2 linked regions of the Ovis aries genome follow. The protein of the gene in region 2 interacts with the protein of the main gene of each other region in a pairwise test. Links are inferred from orthologs where the notes say so. Each region holds a gene or a part of one and is shown on either strand. Other genes may lie near its edges.

Region 1 (10,340 bases), on a different chromosome or scaffold from region 2:
TGGGTATAGAAGCTGCCTGCCAACGCAGGAGACACAGATTTGATCCCTGGGTTGGGAAGATCCCCTGGAGGAGGAAATGGCAACCCACTCCAGTATTCTTGCCTGGGAAATCCCATGGACAGAGGAGCCTGGTGGGCTACAGTCCATAGGGTCGTAAAGAGTCGAACATGACTTAGGGCTTCCCTCATAGCTGAGTTGGTAAAGAACCTGCCTGCAATGCAGGAGAATTGGGTTTGATTCCTGGGTCGGGAAGATCCCCTGGAGAAGGAAATGGCAACCCACTCAAGTATTCTTTCGTGGAGAATCCCCATGGACAGAGAAGCCTGGCAGGCTACAGTCCATGGGGTTGCAAAAGTCAGACACAACTGAGTGACTTTCTCTACACGTCACTAGCGAGTAAACAACAACAAAAAAAGCAGTATGGAGCAAATGCATGAGTAAGTATAGATTAGACTCCCATAGCTTAACACAGGCTTGTATGTCTCCTGGGAATTGTCCTGACAGGAGACAATCCATGGACTCAGGCTGAGCTCGCTTTAGAGTCCAACCATTGCAGTGGGTGGCTGTGTGGTTACTGTAATGGGGAGTAGCCAGGCCAGTTAGAGGTCTTGAAATTCCTCTCTCTGTCTCAGCCCAGAAGTGACAGTCTTGCTGATTGTCTAGTGAACAAAACGAGTCACACGCCCCTTCCTAACTGGAAGGGGCTGGGACCTGTGCAGTAGCACATGGGTGTTCAGTGAGCATCAACTTTCTGCCCATAGTTAAGTCCATCTAATGTTGAATATAACTTAACCACTCCTTGAGAGTTGGGAAAACCTTTTAAAATTCTGTCAAGCCACAAGAGTCATATCCTATTGATTATTCCAGAAAAGTAAGATAGTAAAACTGAATTGGCCAAGAACCTTGAGTAACAGCAAGTAACAGCACCGTGTAAGTCATTAGTTGGCAGTAAACTTGGGAACTTCAAGGACCACTTTCAACCTCAGTGTTTCTATGTGTGACATGAAAAGATGAGATGAAACTTTCTCTCTGGTCCAAATGTTTATGTAGCATCTGTGGCCTTTGCATCTGAGCCACGTAGAAAGACAAGTTAGCAGAGAAGACTGGAAGACAAGATGCATCTATTTTATTCAACAAATACGTATTAAGTGTCCTGTTCTTACTGTGCTAGACTTAGTGAATAAGAGAGAAAATGTCTCTATTTTCTGAGAGGTGCCAGAAAAATATTTTTACTCTTTTACTAGCATGGAAATCTTCTTATTAGCACATAATCTACGAGCTTTGGAGAAGGCAATGGCAACCCACTCCAGTACTCTTTTCTGGAGAATCCCAAGGACAGAGGAGCCTGTTGGGTTGCTGTCTATGGGGTCGTACAGAGTCGGACATGACTGACGCGACTTTAGCAGCAGCAGCAGCTACGACCTTTGATGATGTTTTTATTTTTGTTATGAAATTATTCTCCAAATTTTAGTCACACATGGGCACTGTCTAGCTGTTTGTTTAGTGAGCTGGGGGGTGCTGAAACAAAATACTATTGGCCCAGTGGCTTAAATGATGGAAGTTTACTGTCTCACAGTTATGGAGGCTAGAAGTCTGAGATTAAGGGGCCAGCAAGGTTTATTCCTCCTGAGGGCTGAGAGGAACCTGAAAGCTGTTCCAGGTCTTCTCCTAGCTTCCAGGGGTCAGGTGGAATCTTCAGTGATGCTTAATTTATCTCCATAAATTAATTTATCTCCATCCCTTCATGTTCCCAGAGTGCTCCCTTTATGTACCTGTTTTGAAATTTACCCTTTGTTTTTTAATATTTGTTTCTACTTATTTATTCAGCTATGCCAGCTCTTAGTTGCAGAACTCAGGATCTTTAGTTGTGGCACAAAAACTCTTAGCTGCGGCTTGTCGTACCTAGTTCCCTGACCGGAGGTGGAACCCAGGCTCCCTGCATTGGGGCATGGAGTCTTAGCCACTGGACCCCCAGGGAAGTCCCTTGAAATTTACCCTTTGTATGAAGACACCAGTCATGGTGGATTAGGGCCCACTCTTCTCCAGTACGTCCTCAGTTCAGTTCAGTTCAGTCGCTCAGTCGTGTCCGACTCTTTGCGACTCCATGGACTGCAGCACGCCAGGCCTCCCTGTTCATTACCAACTCCCGGAGGTTACTCAAACTGATGTTCATTGAGTCTATGTCCTCACTGAGTTAGTATGTCCTCATCTGGACTAATTCCATCTGCAATGACCCTATTTCCATACGAGTTCATGTCAGGAGGTGGGGTAGGCTAACACTTCAACCTGTGAATCTGGAGACACAATTCACCCCTGAAAGTGAAAGTCGCTCAATCGTGTCTGGCTCTTTGCAACCCCATGAACTATACAGTCCATGGAATTCTCCAGGCCAGAATACTGGAGTGGATAGCCCTTCCCTTCTCCAGGGGATCTTCCCAACCCAGGGATCGAACCCAGGTCTCCTGCATTGCAGGCAGATTCTTTACCAGCTGAGCCACCAGGGAAGCCCAAGAATACCGGAGTGGGTAGCCTATCCCTTCTCCAGCGGATCTTCCCAATCCAGGAATTGAACCAGGGTCCCATGCATTGCAGGTGGATTCTTTACTGAATGAGCTATGAGGGAAGCCCAATTTACCCCTAGCAGTGCTCTTTCTATGCGATTACAAGGATGAATTTCCCCCTTTCCATGTGTTATCTTTCCTAAATTTTATTTTTTCTTCCTTGAGAATTGTGGGCAGATTCTTTACCATCTGAACCCACCAGGGAAGTCCTCTGAAAGACTGAGGGCAGGAGGAGAAGGTGGCAGTAGAGGATGAGATTGTTGGATGGCATCACCGACTCCATGGATGCATGTTACAGCAGACTTCGGGAGATAGTGAAGGACAGGGAAACCTGGCATGCTGCAGTCCATAGAATCACTGAGTCAGACTCGACTTAGCGACTGAACAACAAGGCTGGGAAAGATAGAGGGGAGGTGTTTGTGGGAATGGAGGCAGGGGTTGGACAAGAAAAGCTTTCCTAAGAGTCCTTGAGAGCAGCAGAGACTTTGCATTGCCCTGGGAGGTGAGGAAACTTGCAGCTTTCTGGCCCACCTGGGAAGCTGGGCCCCTGGTAGAGAAACTGAGCGTAGCCTGCTTGGAAGGGACCCAGGACTCAGGGAAGGAGCCTTCTAGATAGACAGGGAGGTGGGCTGAGCATGAAGGGTTACACCCTGGATCCCAGCACCATAAAACCCGCCAGGGACCCATGGGCCTCCAGGGAGAGACAATCAGAGCAACAGCTGACATTTAATTGCCTGCTACCTTCCAGAAATAAGGAATTGACTTTAAGGCAATTTTTAAAATTAAAGAAATGTGAATATTCTGGACTTTCAGAATGTGTGATCATGAACCCATGCAAACTCTACCGCCTGAAAAGGTTTAAATTTAAGCCACCGAATGAATCCTGATCTTCACTCAGTTTTGTAGCTAGAGAAGGAACTTCCTAATGGACTTCCATTTCTCCAGCCTCTGGACCATTTGCTGGGGCATTGACTCCCTGGCAACAACCTAGCACAAAATCTTGCCCTCAGTAGGTAATCAACAAGGGGCTTCTTCAGAATCATGAGTCATGCTGCCTACAGGCACAAGTGCTTAGCAACAGTGGGTATTTTTAAAAATGAGCTTGACACAACAAACGTCTGGGTGAGACGGTTGAAAGCCATGCGAGGAATGGACTGAAAATCAATCAGTGATGGGTGAATGTGACCTCGAGAGATACAGGCAGCTCGTTGGAGAGAACTAGGAAGGACACGGCTCAGGGCAGAGGACTCATCTACATTTACTGAGCACTTACTATGCCCAAGGCCCTCTGGGAAATTCAATAGAAAATTTACTTCATTTCTCATCTACAGACTCTTATGACCTAAAAATCAGACAGTAAATATCCAAAACATGAAGTCTAACAGATGCCATGGAAACAAAAGAACTATTACACAACTCCAGACATCTGGAGATGGGGAAAGCAGTGATAGGTTAGGAAGACTTCATAGAGAAAAGTCCTGAAACTTGAAATTCAGGGCACGGCCTGCTGCAAACTGTGTTATCAATGATGATGCTGACTTTCCCCGTCTCCCCAACAACAGGCAGGTTAACAAAGACAAACAAACATGGGAATGACCTCACACACACAGTCACACACATACACATCACTGCTTAAGCACTTGCAAGAGACACAAAGGCTCAATGACACAATTGAATGAGAGGTTGGTTTTATACATCAACCCTCTCCTTGCCAACCTCCCTCCTCCCCTCTCCCCCAGGCTTGATTCCCAAGCCCCTGGTAACTACAGAAGCATCTGCATCAGTGTGGACACATTCATCACTTCCCCGGATACTTGCTCTCATCCATCCATCCCTCCATTCATAAGCAGTATCGCACCAGTGCTTTCCTGGCTCCACAACCCCTGTACAGAAGGGCCGAATATATTTTCTGTGAAGCTCAGGCGTTTATGCAGAACCATTTTCATCTTCTGGTGAGAGGCTGGGGTAACCAAGTGTTGTTAGAATTCTTCCCATTGTGCCTTCTTTCTTGAATGATGACATTTATGCAAAGAATTTGACAGAGACATCAGAAGCTCTCATTCATATTTGGGGAGGGATTCATATTTGAGAAGTTACCAGAATAACTTCTCAGTGTAGATGAGACAGATTTATTATTATTTTTTTTGTAAAGATGTGTATGTAGTAGAGGAAGATAAATTATGCAGTGTCAAGATAGCTAAGAATATTGTAGTTTGGGGGGAAATGAGACAAAGTACAGCTAAGGATTATGGAATCCTTACAATTTTCCAGTTATGTTGAGACTGCTCTTTGCTTATTTTCCTTATTTAATCCCTGCCAAGATCTCTATGACTTCTATGACCATTAGTAGTTTTCAGATAAGAAAATCAAAACACAAAGAAGTTAACTAACTTGCTCAGTTAAGGTCACTGGGCCCATTAGGTGATGGTACTAGACTGCAGAGTCAACACTGGAGGGTGTGGTGTTAAGGACGAAAGCAGTGAGGGTGGGTTTTCCCATACTTCGGGAGACGAATCTATGTATTGAAGGAGGCATTCTTTCATACACATCAATAGGTTTTGTTCAGGTACGCGTTCTGGAGACAGAATTAAATACCTGTGTAACTTCTAGTTACTAGGGGGAGTGGCAAGGAGAAATCTTACAGGAAAATTCTACCTTCAAATACGTTTGGCTCTAACAAGCTCTAAACGCTAAGGCAGAGGAAGTCAACAGCCCAGACTGGAACTCGGGAATCCACGGAGCCGAAGGACTGGACGAGCCCGGTGCTCCATCCGTCGAGCAGGTCAGGTACCGGGAGGCAAAGACCTTTGGCGCGATGATGAGATGCTAGCTTAGAAAGGGCCTCAGCCTTTACTCACGGTCCCCGCCAGGGCATGGAGCCCAGGTTCCGGGAGCCCGGATCTGGTCCGAGGCGGCGGCCCGGTTCTCTTTCTATCGCCGCGCTAAGAGTGTTTTGGGTCCCCCATTCCTCTCCCAGCTTGCGGATCTTCGTGCCCCCGAGCGTCGGCTAACCGAGGCCGCGGCGTTCCTCCGGGCAGCCTGGGGTCCGGGCGGTCCTGGGGGAGCCTGGGTCCCCGCGGGCCTCGCGCGGGCGGCAGGGGGCGCTGCGCGCCGGGCGGGGCGGGGGCCGAGCCCGTGCGCCCCGCGTCTTTGTGCCGCGCGGCGCCGCCGCCCAGTCTCCCCCCGCGGGCCGCGCGCCCCGGCTGGAGGGCGGGCGGGAATAAAGGGCGGCTCCGCGCGGGGCGGCGCGGACAGCCGGGCTCGGACCGCGGACCTCGGCGCTCGGAGCCCCGCCCGCGGCCGAGCAGGAGCGGCGGCCCCCACCCCCCGGACCCCGGACGCGCGGGATCAGGTGGGTGACGCGCGGCCCCTTTGTGTCGGCCTCGCTGGGGCGGGCGCGGCCCAGGGCCCCGGGGGAGGTGGCCGTGCCGAGCGGATCCGGCGGCGGCGACGGCCAGTCCATCCCCGCCAGGGGCGCCTCCCCGGCCCTGCCCTTGGGTGGCCCGTGTGCCGCCGCGTCCCGGCGCTCCGGCGGGTCCCGGGGGCGGCGGGGGCGGCCAATGGGGTCTGGCCGAGGCGATCCGGCGGGGCGCGGGCGGGCGGCGGGCAGGTCAGCCCGGCCGCGGTGGGCCAGCGCCGCGTCCTACCCGGTGCACATCCCGGCTCCCAGGACCACGGCCGCCCGGGTCCCTCCAAACCTTCCCCTCCCCAGGGGCACGCGGAAAGTTCTCCGCCACCTCCTACCCCCCATCCTACCCTCTGGCGGGCTCCCCAGCTCCCCTGCACTGTCCTGGGCACCCAGCTCTGGGCCTCCTGCGAATCTGGACGATCAGGTCCCGAGGAGGAAGGGGTTACTCACTGCGCCCTCATGATCTCGTAGATGTCCAGCTCCAAAAGTTCTCTCTCCCTGCCCTCTTCCCAGCGAACAGGCACAATCATCATAAAAAGCCCAGTCAACAAATAGTCTGTGCTGGCCTCCTGCCAGGCCTTAAGGCTGGGTGGAGGGAACCCAGGGGACTATCCCCAGGGGGTCCTGCCCTCCGTGGGATGAGGGGAATCTGGTCTCCGAACTGGAAACAGACTCACTTCTTGCTTTGATGGTGGGAAGGAAGCCCTTTCCCCAGGAGTGGGGCCTAGGGATCTGATAAGGACGCATTCCAGGCAATCTGGCCAGGGGCAGGGCAGATTAACCCCGTGGATAAAGAAAGTGTGAGACCCAGAGAGCAAGGTGAGGACCTCCTGCCTGAGAACCCTGGGACTTCCCAGGAGGGAGAGGTTGGGGAGGGAGGGTCTGGACTGCTGGTGAAGACGGAATTGAGTCAGAGCTTCGAGGTGGGACAGGTTCTGGGTAGCCAGAGGGAACTGGCCAGCGGAGGAAGGGAGAAAAGGGACACAGGTGTGAGCCTTGACCTTTTCCTCGGACCTGCAGCCCGTGTGCTCCTTGGATGTGGTCCCTCTGGGATGGTGCCGAAAGCAGGTTTTCAGGAAAGGGAACTGAGATCCCCCTTTCCTGGTCTTCAAAGGGTTTCTAGTGCCTTTTCAAATCTTACTTTTATTATTTTCTAGAGAGTGCAAAGGAGTTATGACTATTGTGGTCAGATGAGGGTAGGTGGTGAAATGTTGAATTCCAGACCAACTTATGGCCTTGATCCTGTGGCAGTGGGAGCCATCGATGGTTCTGGATGGCTCAGAGAGTGGGCTGGGCCCCCACTGAGAGTGGGGAAGGCGGCTTGAGGGGTGGGGAGCGAACCTTGCTGTCTGTTGTGGAAGGTGTGGCTTTTAGTCCCCCTGGTACTTCTCAAGAAAGGTCAGGCAGGGCTTGAGAACCTCAGGAAAAAGCAAGATGCAAACAACCCAATTTTAATGGGAGGGGAGTTTTCCAGATCCAGCACCATTGGAGTTTGGCAGTTTGTGTAAAAAGAAGCTCTGGTTCAAATGTCAGGATCCTTGGAAGAGAAACGGATGGACCAGTCAGATGCTGGGGGTAGAGCTGCGGCCAGTGGGTGATGATGTGGGCTCCCAGGGGCCTGAAAGATGGGGGTGTTGAGACTTGCATGAGCACTTTCAAACTCCTGTGTTTTATAAGCTTGTCCAGTGTGCTGGCTTTAATCAAGTGTGCTCATCGCACCCAGATCCTTGCCCGAGTACAGGGCTTGGCCTGTGGACTCCATGTGGTTTGGGACTCGGAAGGGACCTCCCACACTTCAGTGGAAGCTGCTGGCATTCAGCGGGGTGAACGTGCCATTCGGCCAGACGCCGGGAGCCACGTCGCCTGTGTTTTCCACTGTGGTTCATGGTTTGGCCCCACTGCCTTCTTTTGTGCAAATTTCATCTCCCTCTTAGAAGCCTCTCTCTCTCTGGTGTGGAAACAGGGAAAGTCTGTCCACACGCAGAGTGAGCATCGCAGAGCTCATTGGTCATCACAGATCCCCAGCCCAGCCACCCATTGTGACTGAGGACACTGTGGACTGGAGGGGGCGGTCAGGGGTGCGGCCACAAAGAGAGCCGTGGCCAGCTTGGGCCCCGCACCAGCCCTCCGGATGGTCTGCTGTTCTCTCTCTGGCTCCATGCTTAAACTGGGAGGATGGAGACATGTCCGCTGCCCTTGGGGTCTGCCGGTCTGGAGCCACTCCAGGGGACTCTTCCAGGGGATCTGGCCAAGTGAGGACCTGCCCTGGGTCCCTGGGGTGTGGACCGTCAGGGGCAGCCAGGAGGCTGTGAGTAGAATGAGATGCTTCGACGGAAGATGGACCCTGTCCACACTCACTTGGGGGAGTTTCCTACCTTTGAGGTCCAAGGACTGAGTTGAAGGTTCTTTCCTTTGAGATGAAAAAGTCATCCGAGGTCGTCATTTCTGGAAGCGGTCTCCTCTCTCCTTTGTTTCTGCATCACTGACACACATGCATACCTTTTCTTAATTAGATGAAGAAATTAAATGGAAGCAACTGTTCATATACCTGCTGGGGAGTTCGCCTGAAGGACAGAGCTTGTACAACTTTCTAACCCAGCTCTGTGACCTTGAGCAAGTGTCTTAACTACTTTGTGTGGCCCCAGTTTCCCCCCACTGTGAAATTAAGATGTTGGTCTAAATGATTGTCAAAATCCAGATATAAGAATGTGCTGGCTTTAAAGGTCTCTTCCAGGAGCATCAGTCTTTATAATGCAACCATTTTTAAGAAATTTTGCAAGATAAAAAATTATATGTATATATATGTATCAGTTTCAGAACAATGGTTTTCCTCAGAGATGATAAGTTGAGAGATGGGGCTTTGAAGAGGGTCATTCCTTGATGATGAGAGTCTGTATCTTCTTTCTTTCCTGGAGTCTAAAGCCTGGATCTGATGGTGTTTCCTGATAAGCCTGCAGGTGCAGAGAGAGCAGGGCTTTCTCTAAGGAGCAAACTGATGAGCTGGATGCAGGGTTAGGAGAAAAGTAAGTTCCTGGATGTCGTGATGAACTGTGCCAACTAGGTGATATTCAGTCTCTTGGGGTCTGACTTTGGAAAACCAGGAAGCGGTGGATGTTCATTTAGCCTTTCCATCACCAGGTGCCGATGGGAAGGGCTCTGAGTGCTGTGGACCCAATTCTCAGGTGGCCCGTAGGAAGGACAGGCATCACTACCTTCCCCGATCTACAGGGGAGGGGAGAGGCTTAAGGAGACCTTATGGAGTCCAATACCAGGCACTTGGTACATGCTAAAGCAGGCGTGGAACTCAGAGACCCTTGGGAAAAAGGTATATTCCTTGTCCTTGAGGAGGCTACAGTCTAGGGGTTGGGAAGCAGCCGGTCACAGATTGTTCTAGCGCTGGGGTCGGTACGCACAGTGCAGGGGAGCATGGTGAGGAGTTTGCCCTCTGGAGCTGGTGAGGCAGGCTGGGTCTTGAGGACGAGTCCCTGTTGGCAGGCAGATGAGAAGGTCAGGGTCACAGGCTGGGCCCGAGAGCAGCAAGAAGCTGCCTGGGGGTGCAGGGAACTTCCGGCTGGTGTAGTGGAGCTGTGCTGGATTTGTCCTGGGGGGTGACCCTGTCTCTGAACCCTGTTCAAAGCAAGACCCCCAGCTGCCACCAGCGCGAGTTCTTTGGATTCTTTTCTCTCTCTCCCGCCCCTGCCCCCATCCCGCCAGTTTGCTTGTAGAGGAGAGGGTGTCCTGGGAAGATGAGAGGAAGCCCAGCTGCAGCCCAGGGTCTGCTCGCTCTGTCTTGCAGGGTCACCTGAGCAAGGCTGCCGTGATTCCCCAGGGGGTGGCAGCCCGACCTGGTGGGTGAGCACTGAGCTGGAAGTGAGGCCTCTGAAGGATGCCAGTGCAGCTGGGGTCACCCCTGTTCCTGCCAGCTCCGCCCTGCAGGCCAGGACACAGCAGTGCTGCTGGGGTAGAGGATTCCAAACCAAAATACTGACTCTGTCTCTCAGGCTAGGTGATTGGTTAAAGAGGGCTTCACGTGTGTCCTTGGAACGCCTCCCGCACAGCGGTTGACCTGGGACATATTTTAGTTTAGGTCAGTAAGTATTCAAGCAGTCCTTTGAAACAGGGCATGTTTGATGTTGGGGTGCCAGCGTCTGGGTGATCTGGAGGGAGGTGGGACTGTGCCCGCTGCACCCAAGGAGCAGCAGAGACTGCCTCTCGGATTCCCGCTGACCTGCTAGCCTCACAGGCAGGCAGGGAGCCGTTCCCTGATGCTCTGTCTCTGCGTCTGGGAAGTGGTTCCCGGATGGCGGCAGGTGATGTGTGTGTCCTGCTCCCCATCCATGGTTGGCCTCTCTGCAGCTGCTCCGTCATTC
Region 2 (10,105 bases):
GGTCATTCTCCTGCCTTCTCTGCCACGAAGGTTCTGAAAGGGTTTGGAGCTTTCGCAGCAGCCTGGAGGCCCCTGTGTGCTGTGCTGGGCTCATCCGAGCCCTGGGGTCCCCCCCACTAGGGGTGTGGGTTACTGCTCCCGTGTGGAACAGTCCAGTCGACCGTGCTGAGTCCCCATCGGGCACTGTTGCTGTGACCCTGGGCAGGTCACTTGTGTATGCTGAACTTGTTTCTTCTGGAAATCCTGATGCTAATACTATGAGTTCTCAAAGTACGTACCCTAAGAGCTGACACATAAGGAGTGCTTGCCATGTGCCTGGCCATATTCTAGATCCCTGACGTGAATTAGCACAGGACTTCTCTGGGGGCCCGGTGGCCAAGACCCTGTGCTCCTCAGCGCAGGGCACCTGGGTTCCATCCCTGGTCAGGGAACTAGATTCCGCATGTTGCAACTAAGACTCAGTGCAGCCAAATACATAAATAAATAGTAAAAAAAAAATAAAATAAAATAAGCTGGTGCACTCTTCACTACCTTAGAAGAAAAGTGAATCGACTCATTTAATTGTCGGGCAAGCCCTGTGGAGGAGGTTGTGACTCTCTGTAAGGAGAGCACAGAGATGTTCGGCAGCTCGCCTAAGGTCGCACAGGCATGGGGTTGACAGAGCGACGGCTCACACTCCAGCCGCGTGGCCTGAAGCCCACGTAACCCCTACACCCTGCTGCATGGGCTAATGCGTGTCAAGCCCTTAGCAGCAGGCAGCACAGAACGGGTGCAGGAAAGCCTTCCAGTTGCTAAAGATCCAGTGGACGGAGGAGCCTGGAAGGCTGCCGGTCCATGGGGTCGCTAAGAGTCGGACGTGACTGGGCGACTTCACTTTCACTTTCACTTCCATGCATTGGAGAAGGAAATGGAAACCCACTCCAGTGTTCTTGCCTGGAGAATCCCAGGGACGAGGGAGCCTGGTGGGCTGCCGTCTCTGGGGTCGCACAGAGTCGGACACGACTGAAGCGACTTAGCAGCAGCGGCAGCAGCAGAGGGTCTTCTGCTGGCTCCTGGCAACGCTTAGGCACTCCGGTTCCGAATTGTTGTTTTAAGGTGGTAAAATACCCGTAATAGTATGCACTGCCTAAGCTCTGCTGGGTCTCTGTCGCTGCAGAGGCTTTCCCCTAGTCGCAGTGAGCGCCGGCTACTCTCGGTTTGTGCAGCACGGCTCTAGGGCGAGACGGCTTCGGGATATGCACTCCCGGGCTCTAGGGCACAGACCCAGTGCTTGTGGCGCCCGGGCTTAGCTGACTTCCCTGGTGGCTCAGACAGTAAAGCGTCTGCCTGCAATTCGGGAGACCCAGGTTCGATCCCTGGGTCAGGAAGATCCTCTGGAGAAGGAAATGGCAACCCACTCGAGTATGCTTGCCCCGGAAATCCCATGGATGGAGGAGCCTGGTGGGCTACAGTTCATGGGATCACACAGTCAGAGACGACTGAGCAACTTCACTTTCATGGACTTAGTTGCTCTGGGACATATGGGATTTTTCTGGACCAGGGATCGAACCCATGTCTGCAGGCGGATTCCTAACCACTGGGCCACCAGACAAGTCCTAGAAAAATGGTCAAGAAAGTAAATCCTAAAAACTCTCACCCCGAGGAGAAATTTTTTTTTCCTTATTCTTTCTCTTCGTTTTTTTATATGAGAAGATGGGTGTCAGCTGAACCTATTGTGGTAATTCTTTCACAGCATATGTGAATCTAACCATCAAGCTCGACGCCTTAAGCTTAGTGATGTGTATCAGTTATTTTTCAATAAAACTGGAAAGATGTTAATTACTGATATAATAAAAAGAAGCTAAGGTGGTCCTGAGGATGTCTCCAGTCAAACTGCACCCATTTCTCAAGGGAGGAAGCTGAGGCTTAGGGGTGGGAGGCAGCTGGCCCTCGGGCACACAGCAGAAGCCAGGATCTGACTCGTGGGAGTGCCAGGCCAGGGGGCTCTGACGCACAGTCCAGTTGCTACGTGGGTGCACGTGCCGTCTGTGTCTGCATTCACGGTCCTTCCTCGGAGTGGAGCAGAGGAAGCCTGGGACGCTGGGGCGGGGCGGGGAGGGGGAGCCAGGCCCAGGTCCTGGGGGAGGAGGGCAGCGGTGCCTCTGCCCAGAGCATGACTCCTTCTCTCGCACAGGAGAGGCCACCCTACAACCTCAAGGCCTTCAGGCTGTGCATCAGCTTCCCGAGGGAGTACCCGTTCCAGCCCCCCACGGTGAAATTCACCACCAGGATCTACCACCCCAACGTGGACAGGGACGGGAGGGTGTGCCTGCCCCTCATCAACAAGAAGAACTGGAAAGCCAGCACCAAGACCTGCCAAGGTGGGCTGGGTCCCGCCAGGACAGGGCCCCAGACCGAGTCGGGGCGGGGGTCACGGGGCCACTTTCGTGTCGGTGGCTCCTGTTTACTGCCGTTCAGTCACTAAGTTACGCCGGACTTTGTGACCCCAGGGACAGTAGCCCCCAGGCTCCTCTGTCCGCGGAGTTTCCCAGGCAAGAAACTACCAGGGCTTCACTGGGGGCTCAGATGGTAAAGAGTCTGCCCGCAGCGCAGGAGACCCAGGTCTGATCCCTGGGTCAGGAAGATCCCCTGGAGAAGGGAATGGCCGCCCACTCCACGATCCCTGCTTGGAAAATTCCATGTACAGAAGAGCCTGTACAGTCCATGGGGCTGCAAAGAGTCAGACGTGAGCGAGTGACTGAATTCGCTGAATTCGCTTGTTTAACTCAATGAAACTAAGCCATGCCGTGTGAGGCCACCCAAGACGGGCAGGTCATGGTGGAGAGGTCTGATAGAATGTGGGCCACTGGAGAAGGGAATGGCAAACCACTTCAGTATTCTTGCCTTGAGAACCCCATGAACAGTATGAAAAGGCAAAAAGATAGGGCACTGAAAGAGGAACGTCCCAGGTGGGGAGGTGCCCAGCATGCAACTGGAGGTCAGTGGGGAAATAACTCCGGAAAGAACGAAGGGCCAGAGCCAAAGCAGAAACAGTCCGCAGCTGCGGATGGGACTGGTGGTGGACGCAAGGTCCGGTGCTGTAAGCACAGCCGAAGGGCGGGCCTAGCGATGACGTGCGTCGCTTCAGCAGGCACTCTGACACTGCGCTGAAAGCTTCACACGGTGTCTTTTTAGTTCACTTTTTTTTTTAACTGAAGTATGGTTAATTTTGAGGGAAGGAAATGGCTATCCACTCCTGTATTCTTGCCTGGAAAACGCCATGGACAGAGGAGCCCGGCAGGCTAATATAGTCCATGGGGTTGCAAAGAGTCGGACACGACTGAGCGACTTCACTTTACTTTTACGGTTCATTTACAATGTCGTGTTGGTTTATGGCACACAGCAAAGTGATCCGGGGATCCACGTGAATATGCGTTCCTTCCACACTCTTTCCCACTGCGTCTATCACAGGTGCTGAGTGGTTTCCCAGGCGACACAGCAGGGCCTTGCTGACTGTCTTTGCGTGCAGCAGTTCGTATCTGCTCACCTCTAGCTCCTGGTGTCGCCCTCCTCTCCTGCTTCCCCTGGGTCTGTGAGTGTTTCTGCTTTGTACGTGAGTTCACGTGTATCTTTTTACGATTCCACATGTAAGGGATATCATACGGTATCTGTCCTTCTCTGCCTGACTTCCTTCGCTTGATACGGTGATCTCCAGGTCCATCCGTACGTTGCTGCAGATGGCGTCCTTTCACTGTGGTTTGCGGCTGAGTACTGTTTCCCGGTGCGTGTCTACCGCGTCTTCTTTACCCGCTTGTCTGTCGGTGGGCATTTAGGTCGCACTCATGTCCTGTCTGTTGTAAGCAGTGCTGCTGCGGACGTTGGGGTGTGCGTAGCTTTTTGAGTTAGCGTTTTCTCTGGGTATATGCTCGGGTGCGATTGGTGGATCGTGCGGCAACTCTACTTTTATTTTTTTAAGGAACCTCCTACTGGTCTCCATAGTGGCTTCACCAATTTACATATCCCACCAACAAAGTAGGAGGGTTTTCTCTTCCACCCACCCTCTCCAGCATAAAAAGTCACTTTTTTCTTCCAGATGGTATTTTTGGTGTACATCCATGGATGACAAATTGGAATTATACTGGATTAATCATAATTCAGGAATACAAAAATGGAGCTGATGGCCCTTGAGGACTTGGTCTCACATACGTCCCTGCACCACTGAGAACCTGAACTTTCTAACCCAGGGCAATCAGCCATTTTTAACACATCAGCCTCATTCAGTCCCCCAGAAGCCCCTTGAAATAGTGCTCTCATCGGCCCCATCAGGACACGGGCCTGTGAAAGCTGAGCTCTTACCTGAGCTGGCAGACGGCAGAGCTGGGATTCGAGGCCTCGCTTGGCCGGCTCTGAACCGCGCGGCTCAGCAGAACTTTCTTCAGTGATGGAGTCGGTCTATAGCGGCCCTGTCCAATGCCACAGACACTGGCCCCATGTAGCTTTCAAGCACTTGAAGTGTGGCTGTTGGGACTATGAACTGCATTCCTAATTGTCATGAATTTCAATTAATTTAAATCAAGATGACCACACATGGCTGCAGCGACAGGTCAGGCACTGTGGCCCTAGTCGTGGACGTAATCAGTATGTGATCAGTCCTGTTTCTGGGGGCTTCCCTGGTGGTCTAGTGGCTGAGACTCCACACTCCCAATGCAGGGGGCCTTGATTTGATCCCTGATCAGGGGACTAGATCCCACAGGCTGCAACTAAAGATCCATAATGAAGACCCAGGGAGGCCAGATAAATAAATAAATGCTTTTAAAAAATATCCCACCTCTGGATCAGCTCGGGAGTTCTTAACCCTGGAAACGAGTGCTGGGGAGAGGCAGAGGCGTGGTCCTTGGTGAGCACCAGAGCTCTGCAGAGCGCCCCGAGCCCAGGGCCGCACGCTTGTGTGCATGCCTACGGGCACAAGGGGGGGGCACTGCCTTCCCGGTTCCCAAAGTCACCCGTGAAAGATTTCAAGCCACAAGGCAGGAGTGGTTTCCAGTCTTGAGCCTCGGAACCCTTTTTTCCCCAAATAAAAAGTTTTGGAGTCCTGTTACCACCTTCGTGGACATGAATTTGAGCAAACTCCAGGAGATAGTGGAAGACAGAGGAGGCTGCGTGCTGCAGTCCTCAGGGTCTCAGAGAGTCAGACGCAACAAAAGCAGAGTTCTGGCTGAAAAGGGAACAGAACTCAGACACCGCATTGATTTCACCGACCCTCGCGACCCTTGGGGCCCCATTTGAACAGCTTCTGTGACACCGTGGAACACAGGTTGGAAACCGCGGAGATAACTGCTCATGAGAGCTTCGGACGCCGTCATCGGGGACCCTGAGTGGCATCTGATTTGCTCGTAGAGAGCAAATCCTAGTAGAGCCGTCCTAAGGCGTGGGTCGGTGTGGGTTCCGGGAGGATCTGGGAGTGGGCGGCATCGCTTCCTTCCCAGGAGTTTTTTCTCTCCCTCCTGATGTCCTGATCTGACTTCTCTCCCCAGTCCTGGAGGCCCTCAACGTGCTGGTGAATCAGCCGGAGCCGGGAGAGCCCGTTCGGCTAGAGCTCGCGGAGCAGCTGACGCAGGACCCAGAGCTGTTTGACCGGACGGCCCAAGAGTTCACCCTCCAGTTTGGAGTGGACCGGCCCTCCTAAGCCGGCTTCTGACCCGCCTGCTTTCTGTGTGACGGATGGACGCCCCTCATGGACGGGGGGCCAGAGCCTCTTTGCGATCTTGCACTTGCTCGTGTCTTCCAAGATTTCCTTCTTAGGTTGTGTGTGTGTGTGTGTGTGTGTGTGTGTGTGTGTGTGTGTGTGTGTGTGTGTACGGGGAGGGGACTGCCGTTATGAGTGTGGACCCACTGGCCACAGATGTGCTTTCCCCAGCCCCTTTCTCTGCCCCAGAGCCAGAGGCATTTAGGTTTGCAGACTCAAAATCCAGCTCTCCAGTGCTCCGTGATGGGGTTCCTGGTCCCACCGGTTGGTCCATCTTAGAGACTCAGGTCACCTTCCCAGCCAGATGAGCAGCCAACCCGAATGCCCGCCCCTCACAGAGCCCTGCTTTGGGGCAGCAAGTCAGGTGGGATGCATACCAGGAGGGGGTCAGGGGGAGGAGGGACTCTTAAAACCAAGTGCTCTGGGGATGGAGCGGTTGCATTGTAGACCTGTATGGATTTAGGTGCAAAACCTTTGTTTCCACTGATGAATCATAAAGTGAAGAATCTCCTCTCCACCCCAGAAATCTGACTGTACTGTCTTTCGTTTTGTTTTTAAAGATTTACTTATGTATTTCATTTTTTGGCCGAGCTGGGACCGTCACTGCTGGGTTTCCTGGAGTCGCGGCAAGGGGGAGCGACACGCTAGTTGCAGTTCCTGGAGTCTCGGCAAGGGGGAGCTCCTCGCTCGTTGCAGCCCCGGGCTTCCCATCGCACGTCCCCTCTTGCCGAGCGCGGACCCCAGGCTCACGGACTCAGCAGCTGCAGCTCATGGGCTCGGTAGTTGTCGCACGTGGGCTTAGTTGCCCCGCGGCCTGTGCAGTCTTCCCCGACGAGGGATCGAACTGGCGTCCCTTGCACTGCAAGGCGGAGTCTTAACCCTGGGCCACCAGGGGAGCCCCGACTCCATGGTTTTTAAACCACTGCTGTCCGGTTTGGTGGCCGGTTCCTAGCGTCCGGCTTTACGCCAGGAGGGGTTTCCCTTCCAGCTTGAGTCCAAGGGGAGCCATGGAGACCGTGAGTTTGCTCAGCTGTTAAACACAAGGGTCCACCCCTGAGCGTTCACTGAGGGGGCAAGTGGTTCATCAGGAGGAGGCTTGTTTAGCTGCAGTCGAATGAAAGATGCTTGCTTCCGGATCAACGGAGGGCTCGCGGGGCACGGATCCTTGTGTGACCCCAAGCGCTGTGGGAAAAGCTGGCTGTGAGGGACCCGGCCATCCTCAGCGAGAGGGGTCGTAGACCCACCCACAGGGGTAACGCCCCCTGTTTTATACAGCAGGCGACCAAGGCTAACCGAGCCCTCCAGTGGGTTGCCACATCCCCTCTGCTGACCTGGGCGGAGTCTGCACCTCTGCCACAGTGCCGAGCTGGCGGCTTTCATTTCTGTGTTTCTCCTGAGCCGCTCTCATCAGCGCACATGCTCCCAACGGCTGATAAAGCCAGACAGGATTGTTAGGAAATTAGGGTCAGCTCTGGGCTTCCCTGGTGGCTCAGCGGTAAAGAATCTGCCTGCAAGGCAGGAGGTCTCGCTGGAGGAGGGCATGGCAACCCACTCCAGTATCCTTGCCTGGAGAATCCCATGGACAGAGGAGCCTGGCGGGCTGCAGCCCACGGGGTCGCACTGAGTCGGGCGCGACAGAAATAACTAAGCAAGCAGCTGCAGCAGCGTACTCAGCTCTAGGGCTCGTCTCTAGTGAGCAGTGGAAAACAGAAACAAAACCTCAGCCAGAGTTCAGGGATTATCTTGGCACAAAGGAGGAGCTTCTGGAGGAGCTTCTAAAGCCACTGGCATTTTTTTTTTTTTCCCATATTTTTGGCCGCACCACACAGCATGCAGGATATTAGTCCCCTGACTTGGGATTGAATGCATGCCCCCTGCAGTAGAAGTGTGGGCTCTTAACTACTGGACTGCCAGGGAAATCCCCAACCACTGGCCCTTCAGAGACAGAACATGGAGTATCTTAGGGTCAAAGGAGTCACCTCCAGGCCCCATGAGCCGAGTCTGAGTGAGGGTTCTAGAGAATCTTCTCCTCCAGTCCCTGTCCTGGAATTCCCTAATGTAGGAGAAGTGTGGAAAGAGGGAAGAACGTGGGAAGGTGCCACCCGTGGCTGGAAGCGTGAGGATGTCGCTTCTTTGGGCCACTGCCTCAGTTCAGTCGCTCAGTTGTGTCCGACTCTCTGCGACCCCATGAGTCGCAGCACGCCAGGCCTCCTTGTCCGAGAACGTGTATGTGGCAGGCCCCAGGCCAGGTCTTTGGTCCTTTGTTGTCATTGTTAGTCGCTAGATTGCTAAGTCACGTCTGACTCTCTTTGACCCCATGGACTGCAGCGCGCCAGGCTCCTCCGGCCCCCACTGTCTCCCAGAGTTTGCTCAAAATCATGACCACTGGGCCAGTGATACTGTCTACGTAATCCCATTTAACCTTCACAGCACCTGCGGGATTTTGAGCTGCTATTATCCCCGTTCAGATGGCGAGCTGAAGCTCAGAGAGCTTTGCTCACTGCCCAGGGACACACAGCTTCTTGGCACAGATGCCTGTCACGGTTGTTGAGAAAATCACCTCAGGTGAGGAAAGCGGGCAGCCGGGGCTGCTTATCCCAGAGTGAGAGAGGTCCCCAGCAGGGTAGGGAGGGAGCCCCGGGGAGCCAGACGGGATTTTACAAAAGAGCCTTTAATGCAGTTAAGACTGGGGCCGCCACCTCCGTGGAGCTGAAGGGGGCTCCGGGCCAGCACCGGCCAGCCCCTCATTTCTTCTTGGTCTTCACCAGCCCCTTCTGCACGAGGCTGCGGTACAGCTCCTGGATGTAGGTGTAGACGCACTTGGAGTCGGGCACCGCCAGCCGCACCATGTCGTCCACCTCCAGCAGCTGGGCGCAGTCGGCCAGTTTCCTGAGGGGCAGACGGGGAGGGGTGAGAGGTGGGGTTCAGAGAGCCGACAGGGAAAGAGGTGGGGGTCTAAGGGACGGGGTGGGGCAGCCCCCCAAGGATGAAGCCCGCAGGACTGTGTGCGGCAGCGCTGGGACTTCGTCTGGCGCAACTATCCCATTGTACAGATGAGACAGCTGAGGCCCAGCGGAGTCAAGACTCAGACTCAGGTTTTGATTCCAAAACCTGTGTGTTTATGCCCCACGTGTCGTCACGTGGGAGCGGGGCCCTCCGGTCTGGGGTTCCGCGGTAACCCACCCGTCTGTGTGCCCCTGTGTCCGTCCTCTGGAAGGACAGGCCCCGCGGGAGGAGTGAACAGCACAGAACGATAATCCTGGCTACAGTGTGGGCTTGCAGCCTCAACTCTCCACCTCAGCCAGGCTCTGTGCATGCACTGAGGGGCACCACGTGCTAGGCGTTCTTCCAGGGAGTTCAACACTGAACAGAATAAGAACCCCCCATTCTCATCAACGTTCTCGTGGCAGAACACAGGCAGTCGTCAAACAAATTGACGGTATGTCAGAGGATGAGAGATGCTACAGAGAAAAATAAGGCAGGGAAGGACAGGACATGTTTGTGTTCAGGGGGATTTGCTTTTGTAATATGTTGGTGGTGGCGTTTATTTACTCATTGTCAGTGCCTCACAGCTTCTGGGATTTTAGTTCCCTCACCGAGAACTGAACCTGGGCCCTCAGCAGTGAGCGCGCAGATTCCTAACCACTGGACCGCCAGGGAGTTCCCCGAAAAGAGAGAGAGAAACAAGTCGCTCAGTCGTGTCCAAATCTTTGCAACCCCATGGGCTGTAGCTGACCAGGCTCCTCCATCCACGGGATTTTCCAGACAAGAATACTGGAGTGGGTTGCCATTTCCTTCTCCAGGGGATCTTCCCGATCCAGGGATCGAACCCGGGTCTCCCACACTGCAGGCAGACTCTTTACCATCTGAGCCACCAGGGAAGCCCAGAGTTCCCCTAAGGGGTTTTTAATAGGAGAAGTTCACTTAAATAGTACTTTTAAGCTCAGGAAAGTAAATCGGGTACATGTTTGCAAGAAGGGGGTTCCAGAAAACAGCAGGTGCAAACGTCCTGAGGCAGGAGTGCTTGAGCAACTGCATGGAACTTAGCAGCAAGTCCTATTTCCCTAACTTCCCAGCTGCTCTTTGGGAGCACGAGCTACTCCTGGCCTCGCTGAGGCCAACCATCTGATCTAAGCACTGTTGGGGCCTTGCCACCACGTGCTGGGAGCCTTAACAAGTGTTTCCCTCTCCCCTCTTTTTTTTTTTTTTTTTTTTTGGCCACGCTGCACAGCTTACAGGATCTCAGCTCCCTGACAGGGACTGACCCGGCCCAGCCCAGGGCAGTCAAAGCCTGGAATCCGAACCACTAGGCCAGCAGGGAGCTTCTGAATGCCTTCTCCTGAATGCTCTCATTCACTCCACTCCTCTGTGTTCAACCGG

Evidence for each region. The genes of interacting proteins can lie anywhere in the genome.
Region 1: the proteins of UBE2L6 (region 2) and RNF144A interact in a two-hybrid assay, tested with the Homo sapiens proteins (2 studies listed by BioGRID and IntAct). The link is inferred for Ovis aries from reciprocal best matches to the Homo sapiens genes UBE2L6 and RNF144A.

The regions. Positions count from the first base shown.
Region 1 is NC_056056.1:16,761,249-16,771,588, forward strand, and holds the start of RNF144A (E3 ubiquitin-protein ligase RNF144A), read left to right. Parts: upstream 1-5,276; 5' UTR 5,277-5,343; intron 5,344-5,810; exon of another isoform or gene 5,811-5,913; intron 5,914-10,340. UniProt on the Homo sapiens protein: E3 ubiquitin-protein ligase which accepts ubiquitin from E2 ubiquitin-conjugating enzymes UBE2L3 and UBE2L6 in the form of a thioester and then directly transfers the ubiquitin to targeted substrates.
Region 2 is NC_056068.1:79,626,250-79,636,354, reverse strand, and holds the end of UBE2L6 (ubiquitin/ISG15-conjugating enzyme E2 L6), read left to right. Parts: intron 1-2,173; coding exon 2,174-2,360; intron 2,361-5,513; coding exon 5,514-5,665; 3' UTR 5,666-6,251; downstream 6,252-10,105. Other genes in the region: SMTNL1 (smoothelin-like protein 1), read right to left, coding at 8,470-8,614. UniProt on the Homo sapiens protein: Catalyzes the covalent attachment of ubiquitin or ISG15 to other proteins. Functions in the E6/E6-AP-induced ubiquitination of p53/TP53. Promotes ubiquitination and subsequent proteasomal degradation of FLT3.